2 linked regions of the Oryzias latipes genome follow. The protein of the gene in region 1 interacts with the protein of each later gene in a pairwise test. Links are inferred from orthologs where the notes say so. Each region holds a gene or a part of one and is shown on either strand. Other genes may lie near its edges.

Evidence for each region. The genes of interacting proteins can lie anywhere in the genome.
Region 2: the proteins of c17h1orf35 (region 1) and srrm4 interact in binary tests that used the Homo sapiens proteins (3 or more experiments, as listed by UniProt). The link is inferred for Oryzias latipes from reciprocal best matches to the Homo sapiens genes C1orf35 and SRRM4.

The regions. Positions count from the first base shown.
Region 1 is NC_019875.2:27,888,765-27,897,628, forward strand, and holds the start of c17h1orf35 (multiple myeloma tumor-associated protein 2), read left to right. Parts: upstream 1-3,102; 5' UTR 3,103-3,557; coding exon 3,558-3,654; intron 3,655-3,772; coding exon of another isoform or gene 3,773-3,794; exon of another isoform or gene 3,795-4,094; intron 4,095-4,739; exon of another isoform or gene 4,740-4,773; coding exon 4,774-4,924; intron 4,925-5,015; coding exon 5,016-5,061; intron 5,062-5,137; coding exon 5,138-5,220; intron 5,221-5,589; coding exon 5,590-5,662; intron 5,663-5,987; coding exon 5,988-6,064; intron 6,065-6,176; coding exon 6,177-6,296; intron 6,297-8,576; coding exon 8,577-8,835; 3' UTR 8,836-8,864. Other genes in the region: guanylate kinase, read right to left, coding at 600-713, 2,962-2,995.
Region 2 is NC_019867.2:3,738,490-3,745,347, reverse strand, and holds part of srrm4 (serine/arginine repetitive matrix protein 4), read right to left. Parts: intron 3,008-6,858; coding exon 2,873-3,007; intron 1-2,872. UniProt on the Homo sapiens protein: Splicing factor specifically required for neural cell differentiation.

The sequences.
Region 1 (8,864 bases):
TAAAACGTTCAGCTCGTTCAGCTTTTTCCAGCTGTGACTTTTGGTCCTTCAAATCCTTGAACTTTTCAAGGGTTTTTGCCTCCATTGAAAAACACGGGGAATCCTTTGCTTCTTTCTGTGTAGGAGCTCGCTGGTTCGATACCCGGAGCTCGCATTATTCACAGAAATATATTTTTGTTATTGTGTTGTTCTCACTTTATTTATGGTCAACTTTGATCATTTCTCTTTAAAAAAAAATTATTTTTTTTGCCAATTATTACCCTTTAAGTTTCATTTTCATTCAGCATTAAACTCTGCATTTTCTTCTAGAAATGCAGCTCCTTCTAGCTTTATCTGTTTTTGTTTTTTAGTTCTCTGTCTACTTTTTCCCCCCTATTGTTGCGTCTATGTTTATGAGTTTGTGTGTATTGTTTCTGTTTCTGCTCTTGTCTGCCTTCTGTTGTCTTTTCTTTGTTGGCTGAACTTGTCGTGTTCCTTAGGGACCATCAACCTGTTCTATGGGGACTAAAGATGGAAAATAGCCTGATAGGCTCTAATCTTATATAAATTAGCTTTACTGTTGACCGGCTAAAAGCCTGATGGTAAATGACAGGACTTACGGGACACGCTGAAGCCAAACACACTGTCGTATTCGCCCATGAGCTTCTTCAGCAGGGTGCTCTTTCCCGCCCCCGACGGGCCACTAAACACCAGGGGCCTGGGTCCAGCCATAGCTGCAGGAGAAGGAATAAAACACAAACCGCTGAATTCTTTTCATTCTTTCCAGACAATCCGAGGTTCCAGCCAGAGAAACCGGCCAAACCGGCCTAACGATCGTCATCTTTATCTCCATGTATTTTTTTTTAAATAGAATAAGAAACTCAACAAATATTGACATCATATCTTTACAACAAGAGTCGAGAGAACAAACCTCAAAAGCTAGAAAAGAAAATCCTCTGATCTTTTTGTTTTATCATGTCTGTTTTGTCAAATATTGTCAACAACAAAAAAAAAAAAGCCCCACAAACTCTACTTTACCTTTTCACCTTTCCTGAAATCACGCAGCACTTGAGCAGACGGAGGGAAATGAACGGGCGGACTTATATTGAGTCAGGATGGGAGGGTCACTGACAGGGTGGGGCTGCCTCTTCCACGTCAGCTTCAGCTTTCTGTTTCTTTTTTTTCCTATTGTAAACACTACAGCAACTGCGTAAAAAGCTGCTGCGTCAATGTTTTTAAATAGATATGCGGAACCTGCTCAGCAGGTAAAGCCCTTTTCATCATTAACATTAAAAAAAAAGACTTAAACTCTGCTTTAGTCCTTTAGTCATAAAACATCCTTTTAGTTTCCCGACAGAAACAGTTTAAACAAATGAAAGCACAGGTGCCCTACGTTTTACTGCAATTTGATTTATTCAAGCTTCAACAGTTCCAGTCGTGGACTGAAAAATAAAGAAATGTAGGTTTAAATCTAGTGTCAAATGACTCAATTGTGTTGTTTTCAGGTCACATTTAGCGAACCAAGTTTTTAACACAAGAGAAGCCCAGGAAAAAAAAATCCCAATAATTATTTATATATATTTAACCACAAAATACAGAATCTACAGTCGATGATCAATGGTTGCATCCAATTAAGATGAAAATATATATATATTTGGTGCATAGTTAAGACCTAGTTCTGCTCAAGACCATTTATTTCTCTAAACTTAAGTTGTCAATTAGAAAGATTAGCTTCTGATTTCCCTCAAACTGTTTTCCAAAAAAAAAAACCTTTCCTACTTAGAAGAGGCTGACAGGAAATGAGAAACATGTGAAGCTACGATCAGCACAGACTGACTCTCATGATGAACGCACAGAGAATCATGTGATCAGATTTACAACCAAATAAAAATCACGTGAAGCCTACAAAGCACTAGCGGCTCCGTGAACCAGAAAGGCTGAGCGTCACTGTCAAATTCTATTGGACATTTTTTTAATCTACATTTCAGTTTACATGACAGTTTGGTTAAACACTGTTAACACATAACTAGTGATTTAACCAAATCAAAACACAACTTTCATTAATTCAATGAGAACATTTTACGTAAAAAATTGACAGAAAATGTTTGTTTTTTATATAAAATTGATTAAAATGAGATGTTATCAATCAATGTTAAGTACATGTTCTAAGAGAAGATCAATTGATTATCCTTAAGAAAACACACAGAAAATACACATGTATTGCATTACAGATGTCCTGTTTACTTGAATGTAGATATTATTGTGGCAAAGTAATAAACTGATTTTATCTCTTGGGTTTGACGGTTTTCTGTTAATTTATTTCTTTAGTATCTCACTGGTTGGTTAAAAATATAATATGTTAAATGTCTGTTGTGTCAAACTGCACCAATGTTGTTTTGCTCCGAATAAATACCATTTAAAAATGCTCAACAGATTATCAGACTTTTCAGTAAACCAAAACCTAAAAAATTGGTTCCAACTTAAATGTTTTTTTTTGTTTTTTTTTTAATATTGCAAGGTATGTAACATCTCACAGATATAAGCTTATATTCTAATTCTTCAAAATGCACATTTTTAGTGACAAATGGTAGAAAATGCATTAATTTGCATGAATAAGCAAACTGGATATCTTATAAATATTTTTAAAAAAGAAGAAGAAAAAAGAAAGACAATTTTGTTAGTGATGTAATTTTTCTCCCAAATTACATTTTACAAAGGGTTTCCTAATTTAAGTTGACATTAAACAAAATAGATGATACTGGACGTTTTTATGCTACTATCAAAAGTTGTATCATCCATCTAGGATTTATATGCATCCTGAAATAAAATAAAACACCGGTTGACTTCTTGGGCACCATCTTTTCCTGTAGCTCCGTGACAACAAAGTGTCTCCAGGAATGAATAGTGGTTCCGACACAGAGATGGGAAAAAGAGAACAGAACAGCAGAAGGAGGAAAGGAAGTCAAAAATCCTCATTCCTACCTGAAAACAGTCTGATAAAATGTCTCATGTACATCGGGAGGCAGGTTTTTCTGATTCTGCAGACGGTCCTCGGAGCATTTTCTGCCTCCGCCGCCCTTTTCCTCACCGCGAGACGCCTACGTCATCACTACGTACCCAAACACGTTACGTCCGCGCGCGCCACTGGACGCGACCAAATGAAATAAACAAAAGGAGCAGGAAATGCTCGTTAGTCGGGAAAAAAGTTGTATTGCTTCTATTTGCAGTAGTCAGATCTTTATTGCTGAGGATTACAAATCTACCGTTTTAAATTTTTTACTTAAATAAAAAAATTGTTTGTTGGGTCTTTGCAACTTTAAGCTGCGCGCGCGAGAGTCCAGCTTTAACGCTCTGCTCTTTGTCGCGTTGTTGGGTTGTTTGTTTGTTTGGAAGTTGCTGTCGAAACAAACGCAGCCGTGTGGGTTTCTTTCGTGGAAACTGGGAATCTAAACTTCCTGGATGAGTCCACGCTAACGGCCCGCACCGACCACGCAGCTCTGCTAACCAACGTAGCTGCTAGCTAGCTAGCTAAGTGTTACTTTTCCCCCCCGAATCTCCACTTTTTTGCCCTTTTGAAGATGTTTGGTTCATCGAGATCCGGAGGCATCCGTGGAGGCCAAGACCAGTTCAACTGGGATGAAGTGAAGGTCGATAAACACAGAGAGAATTATCTCGGTAAGTCCATAACGTGCAGTCGATTACGCTATCAGCGCGTGCCACACATCCAGGAAAGATTAGCTCCAGATGCTTTTAAACCCCGTGTGGCCCCCCTAAAATTAGGTTGTTTTCCTACCTTTTGTTATTGAATTCCTCATTACACAAGGCTTGGCTTGATCTAATAGCTTGATATCAATCCCGATTAATCTCCGTAAAGAAAGCAAAAACGTGCTGTCAATGCCTCCTCTGGTCGACACGTTCGTTGTCTCTGTGCCCTCGCCGCTGCCAGCGGGTCAGCATGCCCAGAGAGAGCTACGTAGTGATCACCACAGTAGTCGGGACCGAGAAACATGTAACAAAAGCAAATCGACAAGCTCTCATAGCTGCTTAGATTTCTGAATGTTGTCTGTGTAAAATATGAGCTAAAACCACAACCTTTCAGGTGCAAAGTCAAACAGAAATGAGGCTCAAAACACCCACCCTTAACATGGCAGGAGACTGTTGCCTTATGTGTGGATTGCCTAAATACTTGGAATTAAAAAAACAGTCTAACAACAAGACTGCACTTGTCTATAATGAGATATTCTAAAAGACAAAGTTTACTCAGCTGGAGGAAGTTTAAAACATTGATCTGATATCAATTTTACAGCTTATATTGCACACTTGTATATACTGTTTGTTTGTTTGCTTGTTTGATTTTATTATATTACAATGTTATCTTTACTACTTTTCCCTTCCTTACTGTTCTTGCACTGATGGTGATGCTTAAATCTCATTGTACTATGCACAATGACAATAAAGCCATTCTATTCTATTCTATTCTATTCTAATTTGATTCTTACACTTGAACCTTTATGGGGGAAAATGCAAAAGGATACATCTACTGGAGAAGTCTGGACTGCTAATATTTTCATTTAAATGTGTGTAACCATGATCATCTTTAAAAGTCAAATAGATTTATTGAAATGATTATTTGGTGCAAAACATTAAAACATCTAGATAAAAGAAAAAGTCTAAATATAAAGTATAACAATCCTGCATAATACATTTTGTATTCTGAATTTGTGGCATTTGAAATGTAGAATTTAAAGAAGAACCTTTACCTAAATAGTTTGACCTCTTCTGCGTTTTTTCCAGGAAACTCCTTGATGGCTCCCGTAGGACGATGGCAGAAAGGGAAAGATCTGACCTGGTATGCAAAGGACAAGAAAGGTGGTGCTCCTTTGTCCAAAGAAGAGGAGCTTGCTGCAGTCAGAGCTGCAGAGGAGGAGGCACTGATGGCTGCCCTGTACGTGCGACTTCCCATAAGCCATTTCCTGTACCTTCTTGAAGATTAGGACACAAAAAGTGATGCTTTGCGTTTCTTGTTCTGAACTTAGAGGCCATAAGAATATAAAGAGACAACCAACAGGGCTTACTAAAGAGGTATGGATACGTTGCTGGTCAATATTGGAAAAATTGCTGTCAAGTCCTGTAAGTTGAATTTGATTTTTTTTTTCAGGATCTTGTAGAGGTATGCCGGAGAGAAGAGGTTGATGGTGAAGAGAAGGATGTGGATCGTATCTCAGGTTTAGGAAGCTCAAGGTGAGATTATCTTCTTGTCTGTGTCATAAAACAGATTTTTTTTATGCAAAATGTTTGCTTTAGGAAAATTTCAACTTTTCTTTTTCTTATTATAAATGCAATTTGCTTGAACAAATGTACAGAAGTTATGTTTAATTGTCCAAATGACAAATGGGAGTTTGTTAATAGTTTTTTTTTTTCTAGTTTATACACTAAAATGAGTCAAATGATTTGTTAATCAGGTTGCTGGTGAATAATATTCTTGGATATTTCATGACTTTTCTTTGCAGTTTTAGGTTTGGCAGAATTCAACCTTCTGTTCAGAGGAGATAAGGTGACTGGCTGTCTGTGGTTTGTTTAAGTTGACTCCATCTTTATTTCCCTCTAAAGTGCAGGGTCACGAAAAATGGTGCTGTCCCAAAAGGAAAAGGAGGCGGCTAAAATGGGTCTGCAAATTTTTACAGTAAGTCGTCTTTCTACATCATCCATACTGCCATTTGGAAACATTATTGTATTAAAACAGCATTTTTTAATTGTCAAAAATTAGTAGTAAATATGTGTTTGATTTTTAATTTTTTAACTATTGACTTTATTAGCATTAGTTATTTAGCAATATTGACGAGGGTTGAGTATGGCAAAAAGAATGAGTCGATTCAGGACTATATGATTAAATATGAATCACTTAAACTTACAAATTTGTTTTTTTTATATATATATTGTAATTTTTTTATACTTAACCCTAAGAAATACTCTAATCTAGAAAAATAAAATTCTTGCTGACGTTTCAGCATCATAAGACTGAAGGAGGCCAAGAAACATCAGCAACAACAACACAGAGTTCAGTGAAACAAGAAACTGAAGTCCGGTGAGAAAAGCGTTTATTTAATGACCTTTACAATGTACAGTCTCTTATCCAACGGTATGTAAGGGGAGGAGTAAATGAATAAAAATCTACTTACTGTGTCTTTAATATTTAGACGTGAAAGTAAAAAGAAGAAAAAAGAGAAAAAGAGCAAAAAGGCAAAAAAGGAGAAGAAGAAGAAGAAAAGACAAAGACAGGATTCTTCCTCTTCAGAGTCAAACGACGACTGCAAAAGGTTTGTCAAAGTCTTCATTCAAAACTGTAGAATTTTAAAAAAATGTCATAAAAATGAGTTTATAACAGGGACAGATTTTCACTGAAGACACCATGACTACATTTCCATTTGCACACTTCTATGTATATCTATCTACCTGACAACAAAGTGTGTTATACAAGTCAAAAATAGGCGCTAACACGTTTTTAAGAATACAATCTTTAAAAAGGAGAACAGCATTCTTTCAGCTGTAAATATTAGCATTTCAACGCACAATACTTATATATTCAATCCAATGAAAATGATGTTTTCGGTGTTTTTAACATGTTCTTGTAGCATTTTTCTCATGATGGAGGACATATAGAAAGAAAATTTATCTTAAAGCTTGGAGAAAGCTTGTAGTTTGATAGAAACTACAGTCGGCGAGCCACAAGCTCCCTGCTCCGCTCCATTCAGATGCTGACAAATAGATCCATGAACGTCTCAGTTTTCCACGTCTGAGCTGTAATCTGGATCCAAACTGTACGTATGGCCAGCTCCAATATGGCTCGCCATTTCTGTTGCACTGCTAATGTTATCTTGGGGTTGTGAGAGCTGTAAGCTAGCTGTGGAGAGTGTAAACAAAGGGATGATGGGAAATCAGCACTGGCGTACCCCCACTGGCCCACCTGCAAGGCAAAGGCCAATTTCTGTGGAAAACCCTTCCGCTGTAGGTTTCCATAACCATTCGGTCTGCAACAACCGTTCTTAATGTGCTGACGTCACCTTATGTGATTGGCTGTCCGTTGGTCTGATGACGTGTCAGATGGTGATTGGTCTGGACAAATTACGATACTACCATAGAAGAAGATATTTCTGTTGTAAACAGAGCTACGTCATGGAGTAAGATAATCTTCTGAACGTGCTTTTATTATTGTTATGATTATCATTAAGTGCATTTGCAGCCGAACGGACAGCGTTCCGAACCTTTCCCTGCTTGCAAACACAAAGCTACGAGACTCCGGCTGCTCTGCTCAGAGAAACGGTTTGCATGTGTGGAGCAGCCGGTTCATTCTAACAGCCACAGATCTTTTTATAAAGTGGGTTGTGGCCAAATCTCTCTAGAAACACTACAAAGAATGTCAGACACTACTTATGAAGGAAAAGAACTTTATGTTACAAAAGGAAATGTGAACTAAAACGCTACGTAGTTTGTCCAAGTGGGGTTACCGTAGTGTGACGTTATCCTCAGTCAAATGGACCCCAAACGGTTATTGCAGGCCGAATGGTTACAGTACCTACACCGCTCTGCAGAAACTATGTCCTAGAAAACGAGACAGGTTTTTTTGATTTGGCTAAAAATGGCTTCATCGGAATGAGTTGAACTGTGCTTTATGGTAAACATGCAGGATGAGTGTTAAACACATCAGAAGTGGAGGTTTGTGAGGATACATATAATGCTGCTGGAGTGGGTGAATATTCCACTGTGGCCCAGAAAATCATTTAATCTCAATCTCAATGTAATGGTTCAATAATATTGATAATAGAAAAAACACTTTATCTTTTTGCCTGAGAAATATTCTGTACTTGGACGGATACAACAAAAATAACTTTGAAATGCTAAGAACAGGATTATGGCAACTATGTTTAAGGGACTATATAAATTGGCTTTTTCCCCACTCCCCTTAAACAATTAAACTCTGTCAATCATTATGTTTAAAAGATTTAATGTGTAATGTGTGTTATGCATGTATAACTGTCTATGATTACGAATAATTTTCTCATTTTTTTTTTAAATCATTTTGCGAATTAATATCTTAACTTGTTTTAACTTCATCTTAACTTAATTTATTTTTTTCTTTTTCCTGTTTCTGATAATTACACTTGTTTGAAATAAGCCAAATCAATCAAAAAAAAATCAGTCTACCTGCAGCTTTTATTTTGAAGGATACAAAAAGTATTAATGATTTTCTTTTTTGATTATTACATTTCCATTCCCCTCAAAACCCCATCTTTCCATTGAGCTCTAACCATGTTCTTATGCTTATTGCAAAACTGCATGCTAACACTAGAGGGAGCTCAAACACTAATCTTTATCAGTGTTAAGACTTTCAATTTAGAAAGCAAGCATTTTGAAATTCTGGCTTTATCCTGTGGATGAGGAGCATGCATAAACCTTAATAATTTAAAGTTTTATTTACAGCACTGTCAACATAACATATTAGCGTTTTCCCTTTTCCATTCTTTTCTTTTGGAGCCTTATAAAGGGAGCTGCTTCACCACACACCACTTATTGATTGTTTGCCTCCTTTTGATTTTCAGACAGAGAAAGGACCACCACCATCATCATAATCCATCATACCGCAGTCAGAGTGGAGCCAAACCCCGTGACAGCCATTCAAGGGGGGGTGCAAAGGCCGAGCAACAGCCTTCCCACCCCCATCGTCGGCATAAGCGACACGACACAGACTCCTCTGATGGGGGGTCCCCTGCTCGCAGTAACCCCGCCACGCACAAGAAGGCCCCTGCTGATGCCAAACAAAGCCACAGGCGGCGCCACGACACGGACTCGGACGACTAATGTCCCCCCCCCCCCCTAACCAATTAAGG
Region 2 (6,858 bases), on another chromosome or scaffold:
AGTTCTTTGTCTGCATTGATAGCAGAATCCACACTAATGACCCACATCCCTCAGAAGGTCTGACGCCCGGGTCAGTGTGATTTGGGCTGATGCAGAAGTTTGCTAGTTGGAGCTCTGGAGACGTCTGGCTGTAATGAACGGCTCGGCTTGGTGTAGTTTAGGAGCATTAAGGACCAAAATGCATTAGACTGATTAGACGGAGCAAACCCAAGTACCCTCTCCTGATAATGAGAACGCTTTGTCACTCATTAGCATCTCCACCGCTCTGGCCTCGCTGAGAGAAAAAGAGCATCTACATTTCAGTGTGCCAGCAGTTTCTTTTCGGTTCTCTTGATAAAGCCGAGTGGATGAAAGGGAGAATGAAGGATTTCTGACTAAATGGGTAATTTTCTGAAACAATAGAGAGCAAAACAGGATTTGGAGACCTCCTATGGAAACCATCCTCTGATTTCATTTCTCGTTTTGTGGATTTGTGCATCTGTTTTCCAGATTCAACAAAAGCTGATTTTCCTTCTGATGCTTCCCTTTTTTCTCATTCAATAAAAATACTTTCCAAAAGTCAAGACGAACCCTGCATTTTAGTTACGTTTGATTTCTTTTCTTTTGCTGCCCAATTAGCAAAAAAATTCAAAGAACAAAAATTTCCCAGCAGCACTTTGAAGAACTTAGTAAGAATGAGCTTGTTATCCATGGAGGATCTGAACAAACACGTTTGATGAAAGGCTGTCACTGCCGATCTGACTGAACTACTGAGTTGGAGCGGAGATGAGCGTTGAGGCAGAGGTCGCTGGTCAGAGCTGCATCAGTCCACGCTTTACAGGAAGTGCTCACATTGCTGTCCAGGCTTTGTTTACCGTCAGTTTAGGTTTCTAGCTTCATCCTATAGGTCACTGTGGTCTGTACATTGCAAAAACAGTCAAAAGTTTTTTACCCAATTGGCACAATTTCTTCTAATGAGCTAAAAAAAAAAAATCTGACAGAGGGGTCAGAAAAATGGTCTAATGAAGTATTCTTATTTTAAGAAATAAATTCTAGCCACAGAGACATGTTTCCTTAAACTAACATTATATTATTATTGAAAATCATAAGATTATTTTTCTTGCAAGAAACAAAACAAAACAAAACTGTTTCCTTGATTTTTCAGGGATCTTTGTGAGGGACCATTTGGCTTTCAAAAGAAAACAAACAAAAAAGTTTTTTCCCTCCTGATTATTCTTCAGTTCCATGTGAAACATGGAGAAAAGTCTGAAATGCGTTTAAGTCATGGATGTTTGAAAAAAGGTTGAAACCTTGAAGAAGATGGGCGGTGAAGAAGATCAGCTCGTTGGTTCTAGAAATGATAGGGAAGATTTCTGAAGGATGTTTTGACTGCAGACCTTCAGCACAACAACTTTTCCCATTAAAACCATAAAGTCTGGTCAACAGAAAAAGCAGCAATTGACATTTTATCTTCTGAAGTTACAAAAGTAATAGAAACAATAAAAACAGACTGTCATATCATAAATGTTTGGGTAATTTCATCAATAAATTGTACATATTTCATCTCATCTATAGTCATTGAGCTTTTATTACCTGTAGATTTAATTTTCAAGCAGTTTTATCACCTCAGTGTTTGGTGTAACATTCCCTTTGCTTTGATTGATTTTTTTTAAGCAGATTAATATATAAAAAAGAAATAAATAAAAAAATCAATGTTACATCCTCACTAATAAGACTTCACTTCTTATTTGCACATAAAAAGTTTTTATTTCAGTAAAGTTAATTATTTTAATTATTTGTGGTTTTACCAGAAAAAAAGTGAAGTAAAACATTTTTTGAATGCCCAAAGCTGATAAAGATCTCAGATCTAAACTGTAAAATCTGCAGAAATAGTTTTTGAGGTCTTTATTTACTGCATAATTAGTTGTGTTTCAAAAGGTTAAAAATTCTCGCAGGAAATATTAAGCCTTAAGGAGAAAACATAGATAAAGGTCTTTTGTAAAGGTATGTTTTTCTAAATAACTCCAAAAAATAAAAAATATGGCTTCCTTTACAAGAATGGGACTTTTAATCAACTTTTCTTTTTGTAACGGCAACATGTTTGTTTGTTTTTTTCTTGTTTTGTTTTGCTGCAGTACAAAAATCCTGTTTTTAATGCAGTGTTTAAAAAAACGTCGGATACTAAAAAAAAAAAAAAACTATCAGCAATCATCAGTACTTCTAAAATAGTGTGAATTTAATTCCACAATAAAAACCAGATTACATTTGCAGATATTTGACAAAATAGAAAGCCAAAACGGAAAAAAGAAATAGGGTTGATTTTTATTCTTTTGTAGAAAAATTATATTTACTGTATATAAACATTTCCACAAATTCAAATGTTTTTTTTAATCTAAATATTTCTTTTTTTTAAACCAAATTTAATTTTTAAAAAGTGAAAAAAAATTAAAGCTCCCCCTGTTGTCTAGAATGAGAATATGTTTTGAAATAAATGAATGAATTGAGAAAAATCTTTTCTGTTGATAACTAAAAAAAACAACAGGTTCTCAATAAAATAACTCAGAGACACAAAGAAACTGAACGAGGTTTCTGACAGGAGAAGGAGACGTCGTGGTGAGGAACTCCTCATAGCATCTCTGCGCTTCTCCTCCAGGCCTGACGTGGTAAGACTGTTTACTTCCAAGCATCAGAATGCAGATATCATGTTTCCTCAGCGGGGCTGTGGCCCTGAAGGCATCCCGATGATGGGTTTTATCATAAACTGTGATCTGCACAAACAAACCCCTCTGTCGCTGGAAAAGCCAGGCTCAGATCGTCACTGCATGTTAGACAGTTCTCTATTATTAGCGCGGGAAAACCCTCTCTTTGTTTGGAAGGGAAAAGGCGGGCTTACTTCCTGGTTCTGCGGTGGCTGCGGTGTTTTCGGCGACTCTTCTTCATGCAGCCTCTGCGGTCCCTGCTGGCCGCCCACGCATTGGCTGAGTCCCCATCGTTGGTCTTCAGCGGGTGACAGGCAGTTGTTTCTGATCTGTGAGCCAAAAGAAAGAAAAGCCCTGTTTAGAGTTGAGACCTTCACAGTTTACACTTCCATCAGGGATTGGGGGGGGGGGGCATGGTTAGAGCTCACATGGTCTGTTTTATTTTCCCTCCATTTCATCCTGCCAGCCGTTTTCCAGGGAAACTGGAAGCGCTCAAACCATCATGTCAACTAAAATATTGTTATTAGCACGCCTCAGCTGCCCCGACAGTCAAGCTAATGGCCTTTTGTATTGTTGTGCAGTTTAGAAGCACACACTAAGTTTCCCCCAGGTTTCATACATACATGGTAATGAAGAAGACTCAATTAACAATAAAGCTCTACCACTGCCTGTAGCTCCTCCTACAGGCTGCCACAGCAACAGCGTTAACAGCTTTTAAATGTGTAGTAGAAAACATGTGCACCCCTTTTAGCGTTACTCCTCTGTTCACCATGTAAAGCTACATTCATACCAGCTGCTGTAAACTCACGTTTCTGACCTTTACATATAAAATGTTCTCATTCACACGTCGCTACGCAAGTTTTTAAGTCCGTTCTCTGGCTCTCTACTTACAAACCGGCGTTTACTGAAGGCACGCTGGAAGTTCAACCAACATCAAACAGCTGAACTTTGATCAATCAGGGACTCTGATCTGGTCCCTGATCCGATACACGGAAGTGCCAACCGGTTGAAAAAGGGATCATGAAGGAGAAATTAATAACAGCAGTTTATGTTATATTATGTCTTACATATATTCAAATAGGGCTGTAAAAGAAAAAGCCTGGAGCAAGAGTCACGGGATTTGTACCGCTTCCACATTTCACTCCAATGCCTCTTCGCGCGCTACTAAACAGTAGAAAAACAAAAAAGGAAAAGATGCCCCTGGCTGCCGCTGCCTGCTTGTCCGGTGTAAACACCACAAGCTGAAGCGTTGACACTTTGTTGACCACCAAAACTCTTCAACCATCAATGCAATGAACCTAATTCCAACAGATTCCGAAGCGGACAAAAGCAGTTTTGCACTGATAGGCAACACTTTACAGAAGTGAGTGCTTATGCAATCAACTTGAAGCGTCTTTGCCCCATTATGCAACACTTTGTATAGTTTAGTGAGATATCAGATTAGCAATAGTCTTTGCCAAGTCACCACAAAAGAACCATACAGTAAATGTTTCTGATGTCCCAAAATGATTCATATCTCTGATAAGAATAGAGCAAGCAAGTGTCTGGTTCAGACACCCGATCAAACCGGCGAATGCCCCGTAGAGTGTACCAAGTAGTGCGCAGGAAGGGAATTTGTTTGGGCAAAGCCAAAATGTTTTGTTGCAGTAATTGTGTGATGCCATACTTTACAATCAGATGGCGCCAAGAAGTCCAAGGTCATGTCCACACCAACATTTCTGCACCAGTTTCATATGAAAGGAGATTTTCCTTCAATCTAAACTTTAAAGAGCAATCGTTGCTATGGAAAACAATCATGTTGGTGCCAGCAGTGTTCATGATCGCGTTGTTGACGTATTGTTCAGTGTTTGTGATATAACTCTCAACTCAGACAAGGCTATACCTTTGATTCTTTACAAATGATCTGCCTCCACCGTCACCAGAAGAAGGGCGGATCACCTGAACCTCCAAGAAACCTTCATCCACCAATAGCTTATTAAACTGTGATTTGATGTGGGCAAACAGCTCCAGCCCTGCTTATTATTCTGCGCTTTAGTCAGGAGAGATTTGAGCATAATTACACATTCTCCTCATCATCCAGTGGCTGATTGTAATGAGATGATAATCAGCAGAGACTACTCCATCAACACCTCCTCCTGCACTGAAAGCAGGCAGGAGCCGTCGCCTTCTATATTCTTCACCTGGGCTTTTTTGTGCTGTAAGAGGAAGTGCTCCTGACAGGGATCTAATATTGTCAAACGAGCGACGGCGCACTCCGACATGACTGAGCGTGGGAAAGGTCTTCTGGGAGGAGGAGACAGAAGCATGATTGGTCTGATCAAGCAGGATGATGGGGATGTAATCTTTAAATCGGCTTAATTTTGGACAAATTCATCCTCCGGTTGAAGCTGGACGAATAAAGTAAGAAAGTTTGATCAAAGTCGGTTTGATGAAATCCATAAAAATTTGATCACATTTCTTAGCATCTACTCAAAAATTTATTTTCACCAGATACTAGGTGCATGTACATTTTGGTGAGTTTTTGGGTTTGTGGTGGGGCGAATTGTTTGCTAAAATGTGCGGTAAGAAAAAAGAAGACAATTGCAGTCCAGGGACAGAATAATAACAGCTTTGACTGATCAAATAAACAAAGAAAGGCATCTTTTTCGGGGCTGTTATGAACTCTTTTTTGTTGAAAAAAAGACAACATTTAAAGTATGAGCTGTTAAGTTGACTGAATTTTCTTTGACAATATCAATAGTCTGTACCAGAAAAAAGCACATTGCTCCTAAAAGGGAAAGACTTTGTGGTCCGGACCGTCATCCGACCCTCATTTTGGAGTTTGTTTGCAGAGATGTTGGAAACATCTCTGCAAACAAACACAATCGCCTCCATTAATCTGCAGCCCAGAAACCCCAAAACGTTGCTAAATGAATGGAATGTCGACGACATCTGAGACAAATCATGCGGGAAATTTTCCTTCCACTTCATTCACCATCATCTACCCGGTCAATATAACCAGCAGACACAAGTGCCGCAACAACTTGTGTTGTTTTTCCCACCAACAAACCATGGAGTGAGGACACTTCAGACAGCTGATCTCAAACTGAAATAGAAGTTTATGATGATTTAATAATATCAGTTGTGAAGAAAAGAAATAATGAAGAACATTTGCTCTGCGGAGTTCCCAGAGGATCTTTCCTCCTTCAAGTTTTCCTTTTCTTCCGTCTCTTTTGTGTCACTTCACGACAGGTCGGTTGATGACTTCTAAATTAAATCTGCTTTTTCGTGGTAAGCTGCTCTCGTGGAAAAAACGTTCCGAGCTGTTCTGTCGAACAGCAGTCGTCATATCCTTTCAAACACAGTGACACCTCCATCCTGTCTGAAGGCAGAACACATTTCCAGGGTCAGTGAAAGAAATGAACAAAAGGCTTTTTATTGATGCAAATGCAGAGAAATGCTTTGTCATGACCTGAAATTTACGCCTCCGTCATGTATTTGAATAGACGATTCTGCCAATAATCCTTTCACATCCACCAAGACATTTTAGATTTATGGTGTAAATAGGTTTTCACAGAGGTCCAAATCAAGTTGGAATATTTTTCTCAGAATAAACTAAAGCATCAATAAAAAACTTTTGAATTTGTTTTTGCTGTTTTTCTATAACATAAAAGTGCTCTAGTGCATCCTCAGGAGGGGGCAGATACTTTGCTTCAGAGACGCATTTCGTGAGGAGTGATCATCCCGTCAGCAAGTATCCTGATGAGAGCTGATAACATGCAGCTGAGCGGATAGTGAGGGTGTGAAGTTGGTCTAGGAGGACGCCGGTCCCGTCTCTGCTCGTTTGTCAGGGTGTTGTGAACAAAGGCGTCATGCTCCTGACAAACACGATGACTTCTGCCTGAGCCACGTATGCTGAATTTAGGGTTGCCTTGTTTTTTTTAGTACATGGAGAAATGACTTCACTGAAGTTACAAAAAGTGGAAACATTTTAAAAGCTGAAGGAATGGTTTTAAGTCACGCTGTGGGTAAATGTGAAAAGTCAGACAAGTGACAAACAAATGAGCTTTTTCATTCAAATGAGCTAAATTTGAAGAAGAAAATCTTGAGCATCAGCAGATAACGCAAAGATGAGGACAAAGTCACCAGAAGCAGAGGTCAACAAAACATCAGGGTTTTTTTTTTTTTTGGCTAAAAACAA